Macaca mulatta: one gene and its partner. The protein of the gene in region 1 interacts with the protein of each later gene in a pairwise test. Links are inferred from orthologs where the notes say so. Each region holds a gene or a part of one and is shown on either strand. Other genes may lie near its edges.

The links.
Region 2: the proteins of INPP5K (region 1) and MAD2L1BP interact in binary tests that used the Homo sapiens proteins (3 or more experiments, as listed by UniProt). The link is inferred for Macaca mulatta from reciprocal best matches to the Homo sapiens genes INPP5K and MAD2L1BP.

What each region holds. Positions count from the first base shown.
Region 1 is NC_133421.1:3,055,356-3,059,161, forward strand, and holds part of INPP5K (inositol polyphosphate 5-phosphatase K), read right to left. Parts: intron 3,547-3,806; coding exon 3,437-3,546; intron 1-3,436. UniProt on the Homo sapiens protein: Inositol 5-phosphatase which acts on inositol 1,4,5-trisphosphate, inositol 1,3,4,5-tetrakisphosphate, phosphatidylinositol 4,5-bisphosphate and phosphatidylinositol 3,4,5-trisphosphate.
Region 2 is NC_133409.1:138,482,995-138,487,264, forward strand, and holds the start of MAD2L1BP (MAD2L1-binding protein), read right to left. Parts: upstream 3,056-4,270; 5' UTR 3,037-3,055; coding exon 2,991-3,036; intron 2,523-2,990; coding exon 2,257-2,522; intron 1-2,256. UniProt on the Homo sapiens protein: May function to silence the spindle checkpoint and allow mitosis to proceed through anaphase by binding MAD2L1 after it has become dissociated from the MAD2L1-CDC20 complex.

The DNA of each region.
Region 1 (3,806 bases):
ATACCCCACCTCCACTAAAAATACAAAAAATTAGCCAGGCATGGTGGTGGGTGCCTGGCTAATTTTTTGTATTTTTAGCGGAGATGGGGTATCACCAGCTATTCAGGAGGCTGAGGCAGGACAATCACTTGAACCCGGGAGGCAGAGGTTGCACCGAGCCAAGATCATGCCGTTACACTCCAGCCTGGGCAACAAGAGGGAAACTCTGTCTGGAAAAAATAAAACAGTTTGGGCTCATAGTGGCAACTGTAATAAAACTCCAGTGTAATCCGGGACTTTAGCAGGATTCCCACCCTGCCCTCAGCCCTTTCGCCCTCCCCTATAAGGGAGCTAGCCTCTCATTACATCTTGGCTTGGGAACACTGTAGTCGCTGGCCCAGCACACTCATGCTCGGTCACTTCATCAGACCGGCCCCTGCAGGTGCCTCTGGTCAGTGTGCTGTCTGACTGGAAAGCCTGCCCTCTGCTTTCTGCCAAACTCTGTGCTTCCTTCAAGATACTCTCCTGACAGGAAGTCTGACAGGCCTCTCCTAGCGTTAGCTGTCCGCCTCCTTAACATTTGCTCCAACCTTCTGCACGCAGTTCTGGAAACCTTCTACTGACTAATTCCCAGACTTGGTAACATATGCCAGGCACTGTGCTACTCCCAGGGATGGTCCTAAATCAGATCGTCTCTGCTCTCTGGGCCATCACAGTACAGTAAGAAAGGTACACTGTTGCTTAAAAGGTACAGTGTTGCTTAAAAGCAACACTGAGAGCATGGCGTGTGCAAGGCTGGGAGCGGCACAGGGCAGGAAAGGAACTCTCAGTGAGATGGGGGAAGGCGTCCTAGGAAAAGTGATGTCTCAACTGGGTTTTCAAGGATAAAATAACAGTTTCATTAGATAGGAATGTCTCTGCCCCAGGTGGGCTCAGGCCCTGCTCACTGCAGGAACTCCCAGCTGCCTCTGGACCCTGGCCCCAGCCAGAAGTATTTCAGTTACCATGTCCCCTGTTCTTGCCCGGACATTCTTGCATTTCCTGGGCTCCAGCCAAAGGGAAGTACTGAAGGCTCATGAGTCGACAGACACAGATATGAGTTCCAATCCTCATGCAGTGATGAAGTCTACTGCTCCTTACTTATATATTCTTTGAGACTCAGTTGCCTTCTGTGTAAACAGTCAATAGTGACACTGTCTACCTAAAGAGGACATGATAAGAACTGACACAGGCAAAGCCTGGGTGCACGCCTGTCCGCCAATCACGGTGAGCTGTTATTTGGAAATAGGTGTGTGCCTCCTCCTTAGCAGGAGTCTGCCTTCCTCACCGTGCCATCCTTTTTGCTGTTGCTGGCAAGGATGACCATGAATCCTGACGCACAATGGGCTTGACGAAAGCACTGTGGGCTATAGATTCAGAGATCAGTCTGAGCCCCAGCTCTGCCACTCACTGGGTGAGCTCCCTGGGGAAGTCCTTGAACTTCTCCAAAGCTCACTACCCTTTTAGACCCTGTCAACTCCAGCCCAGACCCAGCTTTTTCAACAAACTTCAGTCTCCTGGAGACCTCTCTGGCACAGGGCTGGGAGAAGGGGCCACCTGGCCATAGGGCCTGCCAGCACCTCTCTTCCTGCTGGCAAGTGTTTAAAGAGGAATTTTTTTTTTTTTTTTTTTGAGACAGGGTTGCCCAGCTGGAGTGCAGTGGGTCAATCTCAGCTCACTGCAGCCTTTAACTCCTGGGCTCAAGTGATCCTCCTGCCTCAGGTTTCCTGAGTAGTTGGGACTACAGGCATATCCCACTCAGCTGATTTTTAAATTTTTGTAGAGATAGGGTCTAACCATGTTGCCCAGGTGGGTCTTGAACTCCTGGCTTCAAGCAACCTCTCCCCACCCAAGGCCCCAGCCTGTCCTTACAGCTCCCACCATGACTCTTGTTTCTAATGGATGGCTGCAGAGACTGGCAGTCTCCCTGCAGCTGTCGGTCTGGGCCGGCCAGCCTGTCGCAGCCTGGCCTCTTACCTCCTTTCCTGCCTGCTCTGTTGCCCAGGGTGGGTCCCGTCCCCAGCGTCTGCTGCCTCCTCTTGTCTGGACGGCCCTGCTCACAACCCTACCCTATCTTGCTCCACACTGCTCAGTCAGCTCGCTCTTTCCCCCTTTCCTTGGCAAGGATATTTTGGCTTTGCTGTACCACTTCCAGAACCAAGCTTGAGTTCTACCTCTTGTCCTGCACTGGCTAAATCCCAAAGGCCTGGGCTGCCCTGCTGGCACCTCCCGCCTCCCTCACAGACACACTCCCGCTCGGAGAATGAACGAGCCGCTCCCGCTGGGACAAAGACCCTCATGACATGTAAGGGGCTCTTCCTTTCTTCAAAGAGATGAGGGTCCTTGCCCCAAACTGGGTCAGGGACATGTTGCCAGAAGTTCTTTCTCAGGTTTTGATGGTTACTTGGCCCCTTCTCAGCTTCTTAGAAAGGTTTTTAGTAAATCTATGATGGGAAGACATGAATCTATTTATTTTATAATTATTTTTTTGAGACAGAGTCTTGCCTGTCACCCAGACTGGAGTGCAGTGGTGAGATCTCGGCTCACTGCAACCTCCGCCTCCCGGGTTCAAGCGATTCTCCTGCCTCAGCCTCTTGAGTAGCTGGGACTACAGGCGCACGCTACCATATCCGGCTAATTTTTGAAGTTTTAGTAGAGATGGGGTTTCACCATGTTGGTCAGGCTGGTCTGGAACTCCTGACCTTAAGTGATCCACCTGCCTTGGCCTCCCAAAGTGCTGGGATTACAGACGTGAGCTACCACGCCCAGCCGGCATGAATCTAAAAGTCACAATAGCAGTTCTCTCCCATGGTTACTCGGTGCCAGCCTTCTTCAATCCTCAGCCTCATGAGGTGTCTGCTGTGTCATCCACACTTTATAGATGACAAAACGAGGCCTAACACTTTGTCTAAAGTCAGACAGAGCTGTGCTTTTAACCACCAGACTCATGATCTCACTGATCCTGATGAAATTCTCTACCCACTACTTCACCTTCTCACACAGAACCTGACCCACCCACGGGCTGGGGCAAGGGTCCTTAATACCAGTAACTGGTTGGCCCAAGCTTTCTGCCCTGTTTGGGGACCAGAAGGTCTGGGGTTTCCAGAAGCTGACGTGCAGTCCCTCCTAGGTCAGGAGGCGGCTGCTCCACCCTCTCCTCTAGTTCTACCTATAACACCCCCACCCCCCACACACCTCTCCTGCCTTTGCCGGCACTGGCGTTCCCTCCCACTCTCGCTGAGATCTGGGACGGCTCCCCCAGTCAGTGCCTCATGAAGTGGACAGGAGGCGCCACTCTGGAGAGGAGATGGCTACACGGCTTCCCGGCCCCTAACACTTCTATTCTGAGACAGTGCCCATGCCAGCAGGGCCAATGTAACCTGACTTCTTAGACCTTCTGGCCCCGCTTCCTCCTCACCTGGTGTCATAGTCGTTGGAGTTCCTATCAAACTTGTAGGTGGGTGGGAAGAGCAGGCGGCCCTCCTGGAACTCCCGGAGCAGTGGATCATGTTTCTTGGCAATGCTGAGCTGCAGACAAAGTCACAGTCCCCGTCTCCCTCTAGACTCGACCCAATGGCCCAGTACCACACTCCATTCAAGGGATCAGCACATGCCGTCACAAATGGGGCAAGAGTCAAGCAATGCCACTCCACTGCCCCACTGCCCCAGTGACTACTCACAGCCCACCCCCACCAGAGAGCAGGTGAATCCTTTCAGAAACACTACCAAGGCCTAGGGGAGGCAGCTGTCTGCCGTTTCCCAGTCCTTGGACTGCAGGGACCCGACTT
Region 2 (4,270 bases), on another chromosome or scaffold:
AGTAAGCCGAGATTACGCCACTGTACTCCAGCCTGGGCGACAGAGCAAGACTCTGTCTCAAAAAAAAAGAAAAAAAAGAAAAGAAAGAAGGTGAAGAATTAAGAGTTCAAGAGAGCTGAATACCAAGTGCTGACAGAAGGGACTCCCAAGGGATGCAAACTGATACACACAGCAGAACCCCAGAAAGGTTTAGGAAGTGGTGATACAGGCACCACAGAGGCAAGAATGAATATAGGGGAAATGAATGAAAATCTGTGTCAAGATGCTTAGATCATCTGCCAAATTTCTCCCCCATCCAGAGGGAAGACTTTCCAATACTATGTTTAAGGAATCCCCCCAAAGAGATCACCAGGTTGCCACCTAATCTCCTTATAGTGAAGTCTATAAGCTCATAAGGCCCAGGCATGCACACAGAGCTTGCAGTGATTTGTTCTTAAATATTCACCAGACACAATAAAATTCTCCAACATGAAAGTCAAAGACCAGAACAAAACAAATGGAGAATGGATTCTAGAAGAAACTGAGATGCCGCAAAGAACAAAGAAAAACTTCAAAAATTAAATAATATCCTCAGGCAAAAGAAGTTCATGGCCTGGTGCGGTGGCTCACACCTGTAATCCCAACACCACTTCGGGAGACTGAGGCAGGTGGATCACCTGAGGTCAAGAGTTTGGGACCAGCCTGGCCAACATGGTGAAACTCCGTTTCTACTAAAAAAACAAAAATTAGCTGGGTAAGCCAGGCGTGGTGGCTCACACCTGTAATCCCAGCACTTTGGGAGGCCAAGATGGGCAGATCACTTGAGGTCAGAGTTTGAGAGCAGCTTAGCCAAAATGGCGATACCCCGTCTCCACTAAAAATACAAAATTTAACTGGGTGTGGTGGTACACACCTGTAATCCCAGCTACTTGGGAGGCTGAGGCAGGAGAATCGCTTGGAACCCAGAAGGTGGAGGTTGCAGTGAGCCAAAATCGCTCCACTGCACTCCAGCCTGGGCAACAGAGCGAGACTCTGTCTCAGAAAACAAACAGGCTGGGCATGGTGGCTCATGCCTGTAATCCCAGCACTTTGGGAGGCTGAGGCAGGCAGATCACCTGAGGTCAGGAGTTCGAGACCAGCCTGGCCAACATGGTGAAACCCTGTCTATACTAAAAATACAAAAATTATTTGGACATGGCGGCGCATGCCTATAATCCCAGCTACTTAGGAGGCTGAGACAGGAGAAGCGCCTGAACCTGGGAGACAGAGGTTGCAGTGAGCCGAGATGGCGCCACTGCACTCCAGCCTGGGTGACAAGAATGAAACTCCCTATCAAAAACAAACAAACAAACAAAATTAGCCAGGTGTGGTGGTGCATGCCTGTAATCCCAGCTACTTGGGAGGCTGAGGCAGGAGAATCACTTGAACCTGGGAGACTGAGGTTGCAGTGATCTGCGATAGTGCCACTCTCCTCCAGCCTGGGTGACAAAGTGAGACTCCATCTCAAAAAAAAAAAAAACAACAAAGCAAAAAAAAGTTCATACAGAAATTCAACAACAGGATGCTATTAAAAAGAAACATGCAGGCCGGGCGCAGTATTTCACGCCTGTAATCCCAGCATTTTGGGAGAGGCCAAGGCGGGCAGATCACTTGAGGTCAGGAGTTCGAGACTAGCCTGGCCAACATGGTGAAACTCCATCTGTACCAAAAATACAAAAATAAACCGGGCATGGTGGCACGTGCTCTTAGCTACTGGGGAGGCTGAAGCACAAGAATCGCTTGAACCTGGGAGGCAGAGGTTGCAGTGAGCAGAGATCACGCCATTGCATTCCAGCCTGGGCAACAGAGCAAGACTCTGTCTCAAAACATAAAATACAAAAATTAGCTGGGTGTGGTGGCGGGAGCCTGTAATCCTAGCAACTCAGGAGGCTGAGGCAGGAGAATCCCTTGAACCCAGGAGGGGGAGATTGCAGTGAGCCAAGATCTCACCACTGCACTCCAGCCTGGGCAACAGAGCGAGACTCTGTCTCAAAAGAAAAAAATGCGAAGAGCCAGTTCATTAAGACCAAATGCAACACGAGTTTCAGAAAGAAAGAACAGGAGAAAAAGCCAGAAGGGTTAGGCTACCAAAGACTAGAATGGGGAGAAAGTGACTGAAGCCCTGGAAGCTGCTTAGTCTCTCAGGCTCTGAAGATTTCTTAGACCCCCTTTCTACCTGCCTCCCATCTAAGAGCCACAAAGTCTTCCCACCAACTTGCTCCCAAAGCCTGTGCCTACCTGGGGAGAAGGTTTTCGGTAAAAGTTCTTAAGCTGTTCATAGGGCAGAGGGAGTTGCTGGCGTTGGTACATGATATGCTTTAGAAGTTCACAAGTAAACTGACAGCAGCCTTCCTGGCTTACAGGCCCAGGAAACACCACTGGTACTATGCAGTCTCTTGGGCAAAAGGGCTCCGAAGGGTTGAGAGGTTCCTGGGTAGAGCTTGTCTCAAGCAGTTCTATCTGGGAGGCGTGAGTTTCTTCTGACTTCTCATACCACTCCAAATCTGGTAGATGAAAAGAGGGACAAGAGAGAAAAATTTAAAACCTAAAAGCCAAAGTCAGTCTTCTCATTCCCTGTGGCCACCAAACCAGCCACCCTGAGAAAGCAGGCACTCCGACATACGCCCATACCCTCCGCAGCCTACAGTGTGGGCCGTGGCAGGGAGAGATTCCTGATCCCTGTTGCCTGAGGAGATTTAATTGACTGAAAGATAGTGGGGGTATTTCGGAGGTAGTAACTAGGGCTCCCCGCTCAGAAAGCAGCGGGACTTGATCTGGGGAAATGAGTCAAAAGTGTAGTCAAGCAGGGTCCAGTGCGACCCACGGCGATGGAGTCACAGCTAGAGCCTTGTAGGACACCCGGAAGACAGGGAAGATGGGCTAGGGAGAGGACCAAGGGATAAATGGAGGGCGCGGAGGTAGGGAAGAAACGGGTCCCTAAGGCTTCCCAAACTCTGGGCCCCACGCCTTACCAGGGACTGAGGCTGGGGACAGAACCTCCGCCTCCGGCGCCGCCATCACGACCTCCTCCCCTTACTCCTTGCGGTTAGAATAAAGGTCCCGCGGGGCATCATGGGAAGCCCGCGCCTCCACTTCCGGTTCAGTTGGGCCGGAAAAAAGGCGCGGCGCCACGGCAGTGTTGGGGAGGCTAAGTGGAGTTGGGATTTGATCCCTCCGTTCCTTCCTTAACACCCTGGCAAATATACGCCTAACCCTTGCCCAGCAAGAACCCAGGCGTTCTCAGCCAATGAGCGCTGCTTTCCAAAAGACACCAACCCTCACGCATCCATTCACTCCAGCATTCACTACTCACTGTGCACCTACTTCGTGCCAGGCCCTGTCCTAGGTGCTGGAGACTCAGCGGAGAACAAGCCAGGCGCGGACCCTGTACTCAAGGGGTTCACTGCCTGTAGATACCATACAATGTGATGAATTATACAGAAGGGTTTACACGGGGTGTGGAAGTGAAAAACAAGGGTGCCTGACCCAGAGAGGGTAGGGGCTGGGAAGGAGTGGTCCCAGAAGAAATGTGTGAAGCTGTGACCTGTAGGATAAGTCAGCAAGGTAAAGAGGAGGGCCCAGTGCTCCAGGAGACCTTGAGACAAGAGCATACTCTGTTCAAGGAATGAAAAGAGTTCATATTATAAAGAGTTAAGGCTGTAGTGAACAACAGGAGCCAGATCATGGCAGGACTGTGTAAGCCATGTGAGAGTTTGGACTTGATCCTGTAGTCAGATGGGGAAGCTTTGAAAGGTTTAAGTAGGAGAGTGGCATGATTAAATTTACATCTTATAATCTCTACCCTGGCTGCAGGGTAGAGATTGGATTACAGAGAGGATAAGAGAGGAGGCAGGGATACCAGTTAGAGGTAGTGCAATTACCTGAGTACTTGATGAAAGCAGCCTAAACTGCTAGGGTAGTCACAGTGGGGTGGAGATAATTGGGTAACTCGATATATTTAGGAGGTCCAGTGAACATAACTTGGTGATTGATTTACAAGGAGGAGGAGGAATAGAAATAGACTGACAAGAGGCCGGGCGTGGCTGCTCACACCTGTAATACCAGCACTTTGGGAGGCCAAGGCAGGTGGATCACAAGGTCAGGAGTTTGAGACCAGCCTGGCCAACATGGTGAAATCCTGTCTCTACTAAAAATACAAAAATTAGCTGGGCATGGTGGCATGCACCTGTAATCCCAGCTACTCAGGAGGCTGAAGCAGGAGAATCGCTTGAACCGGGAGGCAGAGGTTGCA